Linked DNA regions of Saccharomyces cerevisiae S288C. The gene in region 1 interacts genetically with each later gene. Each region holds a gene or a part of one and is shown in the gene's direction. Other genes may lie near its edges.

What was found.
Region 2: mutations in ETR1 (region 1) and PTK1 together harm fitness less than expected from each alone (positive genetic interaction), as found in Saccharomyces cerevisiae (2 studies listed by BioGRID).
Region 3: mutations in ETR1 (region 1) and ATP11 together harm fitness more than expected from each alone (negative genetic interaction), as found in Saccharomyces cerevisiae (2 studies listed by BioGRID).
Region 4: mutations in ETR1 (region 1) and STL1 together harm fitness more than expected from each alone (negative genetic interaction), as found in Saccharomyces cerevisiae (2 studies listed by BioGRID).

Annotation. Positions count from the first base shown.
Region 1 is NC_001134.8:292,324-295,761, reverse strand, and holds ETR1 (enoyl-[acyl-carrier-protein] reductase), read left to right. Parts: upstream 1-1,742; coding exon 1,743-2,885; downstream 2,886-3,438. Other genes in the region: putative protein kinase YPK3, read left to right, coding at 1-1,337; YBR027C (uncharacterized protein), read left to right, coding at 1,406-1,738. UniProt on the Saccharomyces cerevisiae protein: Catalyzes the NADPH-dependent reduction of trans-2-enoyl thioesters in mitochondrial fatty acid synthesis (fatty acid synthesis type II).
Region 2 is NC_001143.9:67,647-71,868, reverse strand, and holds PTK1 (putative serine/threonine protein kinase PTK1), read left to right. Parts: upstream 1-1,648; coding exon 1,649-3,637; downstream 3,638-4,222. Other genes in the region: PEX1 (AAA family ATPase peroxin 1), read left to right, coding at 1-1,135. UniProt on the Saccharomyces cerevisiae protein: Essential determinant for low-affinity spermidine transport.
Region 3 is NC_001146.8:42,696-45,826, reverse strand, and holds ATP11 (Atp11p), read left to right. Parts: upstream 1-1,546; coding exon 1,547-2,503; downstream 2,504-3,131. Other genes in the region: tetratricopeptide repeat-containing protein EMW1, read left to right, coding at 1-519; DAL82 (Dal82p), read right to left, coding at 613-1,380; prephenate dehydratase PHA2, read left to right, coding at 2,752-3,131.
Region 4 is NC_001136.10:1,506,200-1,510,355, forward strand, and holds STL1 (glucose-inactivated glycerol proton symporter STL1), read left to right. Parts: upstream 1-1,805; coding exon 1,806-3,515; downstream 3,516-4,156.

The DNA of each region.
Region 1 (3,438 bases):
TCACTCCACCAAATACGAGAAGATTTTCTATTACAGGTTCGGACGCAATGCGAACTAATACGAATAGACTATCCATAACACCTCAGGACATTATTTCCTCTAATATTGGAGAAAATGAATTATCAAGGAACCTGCACGATTTTAAGCCCGTGAGAGTCCTAGGCCAAGGTGCCTACGGTAAAGTTCTTCTTGTTAAGGACGTCAATACATCCAAGCTGTATGCTATGAAGCAATTACGGAAAGCAGAAATTTTAATTTCTCAAACAGCCACAGATTCCAAGAGAGAAGACGAAGATAAAAATGATGGTAATAACAACGATAATGACGATGGATTATCAAAGAGGCTTGAGAGAACATTTGCCGAACGGTCTATTCTATCTGAAATAGAACATCCAAACATTGTCAAGTTATTTTATTCTTTTCACGATAACTCAAAGTTATATTTACTGCTACAATATATCCCTGGCGGTGAACTATTTTACCACTTGAAGGAACACGGGACCCTAGATGAGACGACAGTTTCGTTTTACGCGGCAGAAATCAGCTGTGCCTTGAGATTTTTGCATACGAAAGGTGTTGTCTATAGAGATTTAAAACCTGAAAACTGTTTATTGAATCAACGTGGACATTTAGTATTGACAGATTTTGGTCTGAGTAAAAAAAGTGCTAATGATTCCGCGGTTGATGAGGAGGATCCAGAGAACGTCAATGCCCTATACTCGATTATCGGTACGCCTGAATACTGTGCGCCTGAAATATTATTAGGTAAAGCTTACAGTCAGAATTGTGATTGGTATTCTTTGGGATGTCTGTTGTATGACATGTTAGTAGGTAAGCCTCCATATACTGGTAGCAATCATAAGGTGATCATTAATAAGATTCAACAAAACAAGCAAGGCCCCAAAATTCCATTTTATCTGAGCGAGGGAATGAAAGATATATTAAACGCGCTGTTGAAGAAGGAAACTGCCAAAAGGTGGAATGTTGACAAATACTGGGCCAAAACCGGGGCTAATAATAAGCCTACTAAGTCTAAGAAGAAGAAATCAGGGGCTGCAAGAACTAGTCTTTTCACTGAACATTTTATCTTTAGAAAAATAGACTGGAAGTTATTAGAATCTGGACAATTGCAAAAAACCACTCTAGGCCCAATTGTTCCAGTTATTACGGATTTGGAACTAGCGGAAAATTTTGACACAGAATTTACTTCTATGTCATATGAGGAAACCTATACGGATAGCAAGCCGATTAATATCAATTCGGTGAGCAAGTCCCCGGATATGTTCAAGGGATTTAGTTATAAAGCAAGTGGTAGCTATTTGGAGAAGTACTTTTGAATTAAAAGTTAGATAGATTAAGAGAGAAGGCTCGGATCTGCACTGACTTACTTTTTTTTGTTTTTTTGATGTTTAAAGGATCTGTGTCACTGTATATACTTTGTTTTGCTTTAGGGTTACGAAACACATTTTTAATATATAATGTATGTAATAATATTAAAAACAACTGTATGGATAATACTTCTGGACCAATCGGTGATACCATCTTCCTTATTTATGGTATTATTATCATTATTGGACCCCGCCGGTGCTTTTTTTTTTACCTTAAAAGAGTGGTTCTCCTCCAAGGGACGCACGAGTGGTGTACCCAGGGGTTGTTTCCATGGCTAAAGAAATTGGAGATTACAAACGTACATTGTCATTTAAGAAGGTTCATAATCTGCCAATTACATTTGATATAACAAGATGCTTCCCACATTCAAACGTTACATGTCGTCCTCAGCTCATCAGATTCCCAAGCACTTCAAATCGCTCATCTATTCAACTCATGAAGTTGAGGATTGTACCAAGGTTTTGTCAGTGAAAAATTATACGCCTAAACAAGACTTATCTCAATCAATTGTGTTAAAAACTTTGGCCTTTCCCATAAACCCTTCGGATATCAATCAGTTGCAAGGAGTATACCCGTCTCGTCCAGAAAAGACATACGATTACTCCACAGATGAGCCAGCCGCTATCGCCGGTAATGAGGGTGTCTTTGAAGTTGTTTCTTTACCTTCGGGAAGTTCCAAGGGAGATTTGAAATTGGGTGACCGAGTTATCCCATTGCAGGCAAATCAAGGGACTTGGTCCAATTATAGAGTTTTCTCTAGTAGTTCTGATTTAATCAAGGTAAATGATTTGGATCTGTTTTCTGCGGCAACTGTATCTGTTAATGGTTGTACCGGTTTCCAATTAGTATCAGACTATATCGACTGGAACAGTAACGGTAATGAATGGATTATCCAAAATGCCGGTACATCTAGTGTATCAAAAATAGTTACGCAAGTAGCAAAAGCTAAAGGGATCAAAACATTAAGTGTTATACGTGACCGTGATAATTTTGATGAGGTAGCAAAAGTTTTGGAGGATAAGTATGGTGCTACGAAGGTTATTTCCGAATCGCAAAACAACGACAAGACTTTTGCCAAAGAAGTATTGTCCAAGATTTTGGGTGAAAATGCAAGGGTGAGGCTTGCCTTGAATTCTGTTGGAGGTAAATCCAGTGCATCAATAGCACGTAAGTTGGAAAATAATGCTTTGATGCTCACTTATGGAGGAATGTCAAAACAACCTGTAACTTTACCAACATCTCTACACATTTTCAAAGGCTTGACATCCAAAGGGTACTGGGTGACTGAAAAGAACAAAAAAAACCCCCAAAGCAAGATTGACACCATCAGTGATTTTATCAAAATGTATAATTATGGTCACATTATTTCACCAAGAGATGAAATTGAAACTCTTACCTGGAATACTAACACTACTACTGACGAACAGTTACTAGAACTAGTCAAAAAAGGTATAACTGGGAAGGGGAAGAAAAAAATGGTTGTTTTAGAATGGTAAGGGCCTTAGCATTGCTCAGAGTTAGACAACCACCAAAGATAGTATTCCTCTTTATGACATCGAGTATAGTTGCTATATAATATATACCAAGACATTAAAAAATATATGCCAGTGCTATCTTTGTAGGAGCTAATAAAAGGGGACGTCGACCCTTCAATGTATATATCGATCCTTTCACATTAGTCAGGACGAGATAATGAGCATGATGTATAAACAAACGGTAGTTAATACCAACGATAAGTTATACAACTACTGTACAATAAAAAAACATCACAATAGCAATACAGGAGTCCTATTCGCTACTTCAACTTGACAAGATCTACTAGATATAGAAATATCTAGCTTAATCAACAATTTTCCTCACTGATTGCTTCCTCCGAATGCCATTATTGGCTTTCTTGGTTCTTAAGCATGATATTACGTATAAATAGCCATTATATCAATTAGAACAAAAGATTACGTAAATGCAATTTTTCCTGAGAATGGCGTTCGAAGAAGGGCGCGTAACTCGTAGAAACCTAAGAATTCTCGTAGAGCGAAGTCTTCGGTAGGA
Region 2 (4,222 bases), on another chromosome or scaffold:
AACAAGGGAACTTTTTTCGAAGTCGCTTAGTGCGTTTACACCATCTGCGTTGCGTGGAGTAAAGCTAACAAAAGAAACGAACATCAAATGGGGGGATATTGGTGCTTTAGCAAATGCCAAAGATGTCCTTCTAGAAACCTTAGAGTGGCCCACAAAATATGAGCCTATTTTCGTTAATTGTCCCCTAAGATTGAGATCAGGAATCTTGCTTTACGGTTATCCTGGTTGTGGTAAAACGCTTCTGGCGAGCGCCGTGGCACAACAATGTGGGTTAAACTTTATCTCCGTTAAGGGACCAGAGATTTTAAACAAGTTTATAGGTGCCAGCGAACAAAACATAAGAGAATTGTTTGAAAGGGCACAGTCCGTCAAACCCTGTATTCTATTTTTTGACGAGTTCGATTCTATTGCGCCAAAGAGAGGGCATGACTCCACTGGTGTCACAGACCGTGTAGTCAATCAATTATTGACCCAAATGGATGGTGCCGAGGGCCTTGATGGTGTATATATACTAGCAGCTACAAGTAGACCTGATTTGATTGATAGCGCATTGTTAAGACCGGGAAGATTAGACAAAAGTGTGATCTGTAATATACCGACTGAATCAGAGAGGTTAGATATCTTGCAAGCTATCGTCAATTCAAAAGACAAGGATACGGGACAAAAAAAATTTGCATTGGAGAAAAATGCAGACTTGAAGTTGATCGCTGAAAAGACAGCTGGTTTTTCGGGTGCTGATTTACAGGGGCTCTGCTACAATGCTTATTTGAAATCTGTACATAGGTGGCTGTCTGCTGCAGACCAATCGGAAGTGGTACCCGGCAATGATAATATAGAATACTTCAGTATCAATGAGCACGGGCGTAGAGAAGAAAATAGACTACGGCTAAAGACTCTATTGCAGCAAGATGTGGTGCACGAGACAAAGACAAGCACTTCAGCTGCTTCTGAGCTGACAGCTGTGGTCACAATAAACGATTTATTGGAAGCCTGTCAAGAGACAAAACCTAGTATTTCAACAAGTGAGTTGGTCAAATTAAGGGGGATTTACGATAGGTTCCAGAAGGATAGGAACGGTGAGATGCCCAATGGTGAGAATTCCATCGACATTGGTAGCCGACTCTCCCTTATGTGAAAAGGAAGAAGAAAAGAACAAAGCGCGTTTCCCTTTAAAGGGCAAAAAATGCGGCGCACGTTGCTTATTACGTGACATGACCCTATTGTATTGTGCGAGCACGCAGGACGGGAAAAATATTGGTGAAATTACATAACGCATTTTTTTTCCCTTGTGGTGAAAAGGAAAAACCCGAGAAATATGCCAGTAACAGTGGAGACCGGTCAAGATGTATTGAACGAAATCCGAAGTTGCATATATAACATAAATGCCTGCTACCTTTTGATACTTAATTCTTCTTAGCACCTATACGCTTTTTTTTTCATTTTTCCTTATCTTTTCTTTTTCTCGCAGAAGTCTATACAAAGAAGAAATATATATATATCTATTTCTTTTTTTTTTCAACCGTATACCACCGGCAACAAACCTCCATGTATTCATAGGCCCTGCATTACATCAAGAAATATTAGCATAAACGTATAGACCATTTTAACGCCACAGGCAAGCATACGCATTAAATCGCACCACCAACCAATGACAGTCTCACACAATCATTCTACGAAGATATCCCAACAACCAATCTCCTCGGTATCAGCATTTAAGTTCTTCGGAAAGAAGCTGTTAAGTTCAAGCCATGGGAACAAGTTGAAGAAAAAGGCGTCTCTACCTCCAGACTTCCACTCTACAAGTACTAATGACAGCGAATCCTCCAGCCCAAAACTGCCGAATTCGTTGAAAACCTCTCGCCGTGCAAACTCTTTCGCTCACACAACCAACAGCAAGAGATCTTTATCTTCCGCCTCAACCAAGATCCTACCTCCGGCCGGCTCCAGCACGTCCATCTCAAGAGGAAACAGACATTCGTCCACTTCGCGTAATCTCTCAAACTCCAAGTTCAGTAGCGAACGATTAGTGTACAATCCATACGGCGTCTCAACCCCAAGCACGTCACTCTCGTCCGTCTCTACCTCCATGAAGAAAGACCCTGATCTGGGCTTCTACCTTCACGATGGGGATTCCAAAATCCGCATGCTGCCGATCCCAATTGTGGACCCAAACGAGTATCTGCCCGACGAGATGAAGGAGGCAAGCATCCAGTTGAGCGATAACTTCGTCTTTGATGATGAGAATAAGACCATCGGATGGGGCGGTTCGTGCGAAGTGCGCAAGATCCGCTCCAAGTACCGCAAGAAGGACGTATTTGCTCTAAAGAAGCTCAATATGATCTATAATGAAACGCCCGAGAAATTCTACAAGCGCTGCTCAAAGGAGTTTATCATCGCAAAGCAGCTAAGTCATCATGTTCACATCACAAATACTTTCCTTCTAGTCAAGGTGCCCACCACCGTCTACACCACTCGCGGGTGGGGGTTCGTCATGGAGCTAGGTCTACGAGATTTGTTCGCGATGATACAAAAATCGGGCTGGCGCAGCGTGGCCCTAGCAGAAAAGTTTTGTATATTCAAACAGGTGGCGTGTGGTGTCAAGTTTTGCCACGATCAGGGCATCGCCCACCGTGATTTGAAACCGGAAAATGTACTGCTATCCCCGGACGGCGTGTGCAAGCTGACAGATTTTGGTATCTCAGACTGGTACCACACGGATCCACACGACCTGTCCAGCCCTGTCAAGAAGTGCGCAGGGATGATCGGCTCGCCGCCGTATGCTCCCCCGGAGGTCATGTTCTACGACTCCAAGAAGCACTACGATACGGAATTGCAACAGCCGTATGACCCACGCGCTCTAGACTGTTATGGCCTGGGTATTATCCTCATGACCCTCGTCAACAACGTCATTCCATTTTTGGAATCCTGCAGCTTCGACACTGGTTTCCGCGATTACTGTGACGCTTATGAAAACTTTATCCGTCTTCACGATCGCGCATTCCGCAATCGCGGCAATTACCGCCCGGGGCCGGGAATGGAGTATCACTTGGCTAGAAATTTCAAGAACGGACATGCATCTCGCGTGGCATGGCGGCTCGCTGACCCAGAAGCCGCCACCCGCTACACCATCGACGACCTCTTCGAAGACCCATGGTTCCAAGGAATTGAGACTTGTGTTGATGCCAACGACAAATATGTGTGTAAGAAACCTATTATCAAAACCACTACGTACGAGAATCCGCGGGGTTTCCATATCGCTACAGATGTTGCTGCAACCACACCCACCTCAAACCCATTCCTTAAGAACCGAGTCCCCATCAGGTCAATGGTAGATATAGCCGCCCATCCTTCCCCAACGGCCACGGTTTTAGCGTCGTCGCCTCCGCCGCCTCCTCCGGCGACTCATGTGCCAGCCGAGGCCTTATTTACACTTAGGGAAACCCCGCCGCCCCAGCTAGCAACCCTCACGCTTAGCGAAGAACCTCCCGCAACTCCCGCACCTTCCGCACCTTCCGCACCTTCCGCTCGCGTCCGTGGCCACTCCCCGCACAGGGTAGTGCATCACCATCTGAACATTGTCAACAGCTTGGTCCATAGTTCTAGCGCGGCGTCTTCTCAAGTTCCGGCTTCGACCTAGCCAGAATGTGCAGCAGAGTAAATAATATTCACTTCCCTGTTCCTAAAGCGTACAATATACAACTCCAACTTCATATCAACTACCAGAAACAGTAACATACGTAATAGTTATTTTCTATATTTTTATTTTTTTTTTGCCACTGACCAGTCTTCGCGGCGGTGTGAGTTTCCGTCTGTACGCAGCATTTAGCAGAGATTTGCCAATGCCAAGAAACTCCGCTAAACTAACATCGCGATGCAATGGGCTTGGTATTCCGTGGAAGAAAATGAAAACCGGCGCAAAGAATCCTCCGAGAAAATTTGATGCGGTGCACGGATTTCAGCACGGGTTTCAGCACGGATTTTATTTCTTTGCACCCCGCAAATTTCTGGGCGATGATAAACATACCGCATCTAAAACCGTATACAGACTACGGCACAGAAGCCAAGACTAACAAAAAAAAAAAAAAAAAAAAAAAAGAAAAAAGAAAAATGTCACGTGTTATTCCTTGTGCCCTCTGACCTACGTAGTTACTTGCGTGGCTTCAAATTTGATATCAGCTCTCGAGACGTCCTGATCTCTATACCTTATTGCTTGCTTTAGGTT
Region 3 (3,131 bases), on another chromosome or scaffold:
GTCAGTATTAGGAGGGACAAATCTGGCGAAGGTTCCATCGACTTACCAATTATTGAAAAACTAGTAGAACTATTAGTGACTAGTGAATATCCAGAGGAGCCGCAGCAATTATCTTATTTTCAAAAGAGCTGTACTGAGTTTATCTGTAACACTTTACCTCAGGTAATTACAACCAGTGCAAGATGTTGGCGACTGGTCGCAAGAGTAGAACTTTGGAGGAAGAGACCATGGGCCGCCCTAGAATGCCACGAGAAGGCTTATAGGGCCATTTCTCACAATCCTGATTTAGAAGTTGAAGAAAAGGTTTGGAATGATACAGTGGATGCTTGTGAAGATTTGGTGGCTGCCTATGAATCACTTGGTGAAATGGAAGGTAAATATGGGCCAGGCAGTCTGGTTTGCAAAGACTGGAAATACAAATGTAGATCTACTATCAAAGCTCTAATGAGTAAAGGCAAAGGCAGATGGGATGACTCTCCTGGTTGGGATAGGCTAGTGGAAGCAAGAAGCCAAATATGAAGAGCACCTTTCATGTATAATCTGTGTATATTACGTAATGTTTGTATAAATAGATACATATGGACATGAATCAAGCATATCTAATAGAAGTTTTTATATTTTATCTCCTTGGCTGGGTGGTCTCATCTGTGAAAGGAGAGCCTCAATTATGTTGAGCTTGTTTAAAACTTTACACTCAAAATCTTCTTGCCTTTTCTTTATCACCTCGAGTTCGTTGTGAAGATAATCTAGACATATTTCCAATTCCATATTAGAGTCCGACCACGATTGCTCAGCAGCCATTTGTGGAGGCAGTACTGTCTCGCTGAACCTATTTGTACCCTTGTTTATCTTAGGGCTTTTGATGACTTTCCCGACGTCGTTATCCTTAGACAGAATCATGGGGATTGTGTGAAGAGTAGGCGGAATTCCAATCGTTATTGAATCCAGGGGCAGCGGTTGTGAGCCTGAATGCTCATCGTCGGAGCTGTGGTTATTCGGATGTTCAGCGGATGATAATTGTTGAAACGGATCAGGCCCCGGATGACTTTTAATGAAAGAAGATGATGATAAGGATGAAGATGATTCATTTCCGAATTTAGTTCTTGGTCTTGGATGTTCTGGTGCTTCGTCCAAGAGTGCTCCCATCAGCTTCAACTGGGAAGGAGAGAATTGGGCTCGATCTGCGCTGAAGAGGTCCTTCAGTCGACGAAATTTGGTTTTTAACGTCCTTGATTGTCTATATCTTGACCCAGTCTGTCTGTTGTACTCATCGAGCACCCTTTGCCAGCTATCTTGTCTGTAGGCATATGGTTTCAGATGAGGTTTGTGCCGTATCAGTAGTCGTAGAAGCAGCTCCACAGGATCCACCGATTCATCCATTATGGTTGGCTCCGCCTAAACCTTTCAAAGTATCGTTAAACCATGTTGTTATCAATGGTTCAACTCACCCGAATGGAAATAACGCTTATTTTGACGCCGTAATCGAAGGATGTGAAGAACTTATCAAGACTTGAAAATAGAGAACAAAAGAGATTTAAGAATAACTATGTGGAGACTAACCAGAAAAATCGGCACTAGAATCCATATTTCTAATCAGCTGTCGCCCATTTTTAACAAGGCAATTGGAACAGTTCCTGTTTTTCGTTTTTATTCTTCCAGCCCAGAGCAGAAGTATAGAAAGAAACTTTTGGAAGAGGCTCAAAAACAAGGTTTTAACAGCATAGAAGAGTTGAAAAATCATTTGAAAGAGACTATAGAGTCTAAGAAGCGGGAATTTAATAAAATCGACCCCCTGAAAGAACTAGAGGATTACCAACAAAAAACTCAAATGGAAAATAACAACTCCAAGCATTTGATGACGAAATCAAGAAGTCCTCTCGATCCAAGTGCTCCTAAAGTTCCCTTCAAAACATTGGACTCTTTTTTGGATGTTGGAAAACTGAAGGACTTATCGAAACAGGAAGTAGAGTTTCTTTGGAGAGCAAGATGGGCACAAAAAGATAATACATTATGCGCTGTGATTCCTGTCTCCGTTTATGATAAGATGATGGCAAATGCCAGGAATAACCCTATATTCGTGTTGCCACTTCCTAGACAAGTTCAATCTGAGGATGCAAAACCGAACGAAGAACAGGGAATGGAACTACACTACATCCAATGGCAGTTTGTCGGACCCCAAACAACACATTGTATGATGACTTCCCTAGCAGAATACAAACTACACCAGGAATTTGCAAGGCCACATACTACCTTGCAGTTCCATTCTGATTTGGTCAAGGATAAGGGAATTGTTTTTATGAATGGCCATGTTGAACCGGATACAAACGTGAATGTACAGGATGCACAGCTGTTATTGCTAAACGTGCAAAGGTTTTATGGTGCAATGGGTGAAGAAACTCCAGTTGCTAAACAGAGAGTGCAGTTGTTAAGAGATTTCTCTAAGGCCTCTCCGGGATTCACCGTCGAGAAATTGATTTCGCTATCACAGTCCATGGAAAATTAACGAAGAATTACTTCCGTATACGTATATATATATATATATATATATTAATGACACCTGTAAATAAAATACGTACTACATCATCTGCGACAAGCGTACAGTTTCTTTACACAGTTATCAGCATGACTCTTGTATTTTCATAATGAAAAATGAAAATAAAAATTTTAGTAGATGAATATAATACGCAGAAAGAACAGGCTAAAAAAGTACGAAAAGCAACTTCATTATATTTCCGCATTCATCCTTCAATTATGGCCAGCAAGACTTTGAGGGTTCTTTTTCTGGGTCCCAAAGGTACGTATTCCCATCAAGCTGCATTACAACAATTTCAATCAACATCTGATGTTGAGTACCTCCCAGCAGCCTCTATCCCCCAATGTTTTAACCAATTGGAGAACGACACTAGTATAGATTATTCAGTGGTACCGTTGGAAAATTCCACCAATGGACAAGTAGTTTTTTCCTATGATCTCTTGCGTGATAGGATGATCAAAAAAGCCCTATCCTTACCTGCTCCAGCAGATACTAATAGAATTACACCAGATATAGAAGTTATAGCGGAGCAATATGTACCCATTACCCATTGTCTAATCAGCCCAATCCAACTACCAAATGGTATTGCATCCCTTGG
Region 4 (4,156 bases), on another chromosome or scaffold:
ATCGAATATCTTGGAGGTCATATATGTTCATTCATCGGTGAGTGAGGATAATAGTGGCTTTTGTAAAAATTTTTATTATGGTGCTAATACACCATACTATTTCTGAGGCAACACCAAAGAAGGGTCCGAGAGTTCTTAGGCAGTAAAAAAGTTACACAGCCTCAGAAGACAGGGATCATGCAGTAAAAAAAAAAGCTCGATAATTTCATCGATCAATTGACCAGCCAATTTATTCTTATACCCTTATTTCTACCGATATAAACAGTTGGATAAACGGACAGGTTGAAGTGCAACGTTATTCAATGGTGACAGTTGCTTCTGGACTAAGAAAGGCTAGACCATGTGCCAGAAGTGCAGAAAAATGAAAGCAGAGAGCAAATAAAAAAACTCGACAAACATCGGAATATCAACCAGACAATAGCAAGTGGACACAATGAAATAAAAATCTCACAGGCAAAAACGCACTTAAGGTGACGTAGATGCGTCCATCATTTAAACACGATACCAACATTATCTGATGTTTCAATGTTGAAAACTGACATTCAAATATTCCGCAACCAGCGGACGAACTGAAGGAGCAGGCGACTACAATGCGCAGGGCGATTGGCGCGGTAACTTTGCCATGATCAAATATTTGTGTAGCGCTTTGTTCACTATCGAACTTTCTAAATGAGTTAAGGAAGAGAAGAAAAACAATATGATACCGCAAATACGTATTCTCACCTAAAATGGCAAGGCAAAGCTTCGCCGAGGAATTCAGCCCGAGAGTAGAAAATTTACTAATGTGGTCTCGCGTGTGAATCAGCAATGATTCTGAAATACTCCTTTTACAACCTTTGCAAAGATAATGTCTTTCAGTCTGATATTACGAGCGACCTAGAACCACTAATCCATATTCTTCATTCAACTTACTCCATTTTCCTTGGCAAACAATGCCCCACAATCATATACGTCATAACTATAAGGGATATGTCTGGAATGCGGCCAAGATAGAATTAAAGGGCTGCAGAACACCACTACTGATACTCATTGCCAAGGCTAGGAGGCACCATCCGTTTCATTTTCTTTGAGGTAAGCCAATCATGAAATAGTATACACATCCATAACGGACGTACGGACGAAATAAGTGCCGTTGTCCCACTATTCCACCGCATTTGGCCCATTTGGCTCACTTTGACTCAACTTGCGTCATTTTAACTGATATGAAGGGTCCGACTTTGTCCTTTTTCGGCCACCGCATACCCCACGGCGATGCCTCCGCTACCTGCATTTGAGTAGCATCTCCGTTTCGCGGGGTATTCGGCGCTACGTCGCCTGTTCGAGCGGCTCTGTTCGTTGCATGAAACTAAAATAAGCGGAAAGTGTCCAGCCATCCACTACGTCAGAAAGAAATAATGGTTGTACACTGTTTCTCGGCTATATACCGTTTTTGGTTGGTTAATCCTCGCCAGGTGCAGCTATTGCGCTTGGCTGCTTCGCGATAGTAGTAATCTGAGAAAGTGCAGATCCCGGTAAGGGAAACACTTTTGGTTCACCTTTGATAGGGCTTTCATTGGGGCATTCGTAACAAAAAGGAAGTAGATAGAGAAATTGAGAAAGCTTAAGTGAGATGTTTTAGCTTCAATTTTGTCCCCTTCAACGCTGCTTGGCCTTAGAGGGTCAGAATTGCAGTTCAGGAGTAGTCACACTCATAGTATATAAACAAGCCCTTTATTGATTTTGAATAATTATTTTGTATACGTGTTCTAGCATACAAGTTAGAATAAATAAAAAATAGAAAAATAGAACATAGAAAGTTTTAGACCATGAAGGATTTAAAATTATCGAATTTCAAAGGCAAATTTATAAGCAGAACCAGTCACTGGGGACTTACGGGTAAGAAGTTGCGGTATTTCATCACTATCGCATCTATGACGGGCTTCTCCCTGTTTGGATACGACCAAGGGTTGATGGCAAGTCTAATTACTGGTAAACAGTTCAACTATGAATTTCCAGCAACCAAAGAAAATGGCGATCATGACAGACACGCAACTGTAGTGCAGGGCGCTACAACCTCCTGTTATGAATTAGGTTGTTTCGCAGGTTCTCTATTCGTTATGTTCTGCGGTGAAAGAATTGGTAGAAAACCATTAATCCTGATGGGTTCCGTAATAACCATCATTGGTGCCGTTATTTCTACATGCGCATTTCGTGGTTACTGGGCATTAGGCCAGTTTATCATCGGAAGAGTCGTCACCGGTGTTGGAACAGGGTTGAATACATCTACTATTCCCGTTTGGCAATCAGAAATGTCAAAAGCTGAAAATAGAGGGTTGCTGGTCAATTTAGAAGGTTCCACAATTGCTTTTGGTACTATGATTGCTTATTGGATTGATTTTGGGTTGTCTTATACCAACAGTTCTGTTCAGTGGAGATTCCCCGTGTCAATGCAAATCGTTTTTGCTCTCTTCCTGCTTGCTTTCATGATTAAACTACCTGAATCGCCACGTTGGCTGATTTCTCAAAGTCGAACAGAAGAAGCTCGCTACTTGGTAGGAACACTAGACGACGCGGATCCAAATGATGAGGAAGTTATAACAGAAGTTGCTATGCTTCACGATGCTGTTAACAGGACCAAACACGAGAAACATTCACTGTCAAGTTTGTTCTCCAGAGGCAGGTCCCAAAATCTTCAGAGGGCTTTGATTGCAGCTTCAACGCAATTTTTCCAGCAATTTACTGGTTGTAACGCTGCCATATACTACTCTACTGTATTATTCAACAAAACAATTAAATTAGACTATAGATTATCAATGATCATAGGTGGGGTCTTCGCAACAATCTACGCCTTATCTACTATTGGTTCATTTTTTCTAATTGAAAAGCTAGGTAGACGTAAGCTGTTTTTATTAGGTGCCACAGGTCAAGCAGTTTCATTCACAATTACATTTGCATGCTTGGTCAAAGAAAATAAAGAAAACGCAAGAGGTGCTGCCGTCGGCTTATTTTTGTTCATTACATTCTTTGGTTTGTCTTTGCTATCATTACCATGGATATACCCACCAGAAATTGCATCAATGAAAGTTCGTGCATCAACAAACGCTTTCTCCACATGTACTAATTGGTTGTGTAACTTTGCGGTTGTCATGTTCACCCCAATATTTATTGGACAGTCCGGTTGGGGTTGCTACTTATTTTTTGCTGTTATGAATTATTTATACATTCCAGTTATCTTCTTTTTCTACCCTGAAACCGCCGGAAGAAGTTTGGAGGAAATCGACATCATCTTTGCTAAAGCATACGAGGATGGCACTCAACCATGGAGAGTTGCTAACCATTTGCCCAAGTTATCCCTACAAGAAGTCGAAGATCATGCCAATGCATTGGGCTCTTATGACGACGAAATGGAAAAAGAGGACTTTGGTGAAGATAGAGTAGAAGACACCTATAACCAAATTAACGGCGATAATTCGTCTAGTTCTTCAAACATCAAAAATGAAGATACAGTGAACGATAAAGCAAATTTTGAGGGTTGATTCACACACAACTCACAAATCATATTTTGTAATTTACTTAAGAAAGCATTTTGCGGGGTTTATATTTGTTCCTTGCCGCACCAATAATATTCATATATTACTACATAACTTTAGTATTTTAACACCAGACGATCTGTCTTTTGAGGAAATATGTCCACTTTCATTTTCTTCCGCTTGCCGGCAATGCCTATAAAAAGCTTATAAAATAGCCCGACTCCGTAGTCTTAATATTTATTTAAGTACAATAATAGTCCCACAAAAATTTTTAAAACATCTTTATTGATAACGTGGACGTGTTATTACATTGGAGCGAATGATGACGGAAGTAGGAAAATCTGAATACTAAGGTGAAGATATTTTAGCAGGGTGCCGCCATGGATGTTCTATGAATGTCTTCCTTCCTTTTCTCTCATGGGACACCGCAAAAACCTGTTCTACCATCATTTAACTGCAACATACAAAAAGCCACCAACTTTCGAACACTGCAAATGGTGCTATTCTCTTTTTGCGGTCTTGCCATGATATTCTTCTTGCAAAAAGGGTTTTAGAGCAAGATTTCAAATTAGCCATGAATATCATGCATCGCTTAGAGCAGTAAGATTTTACCAGAGCTTTACAGGACCTATTTTTCATACGTTATG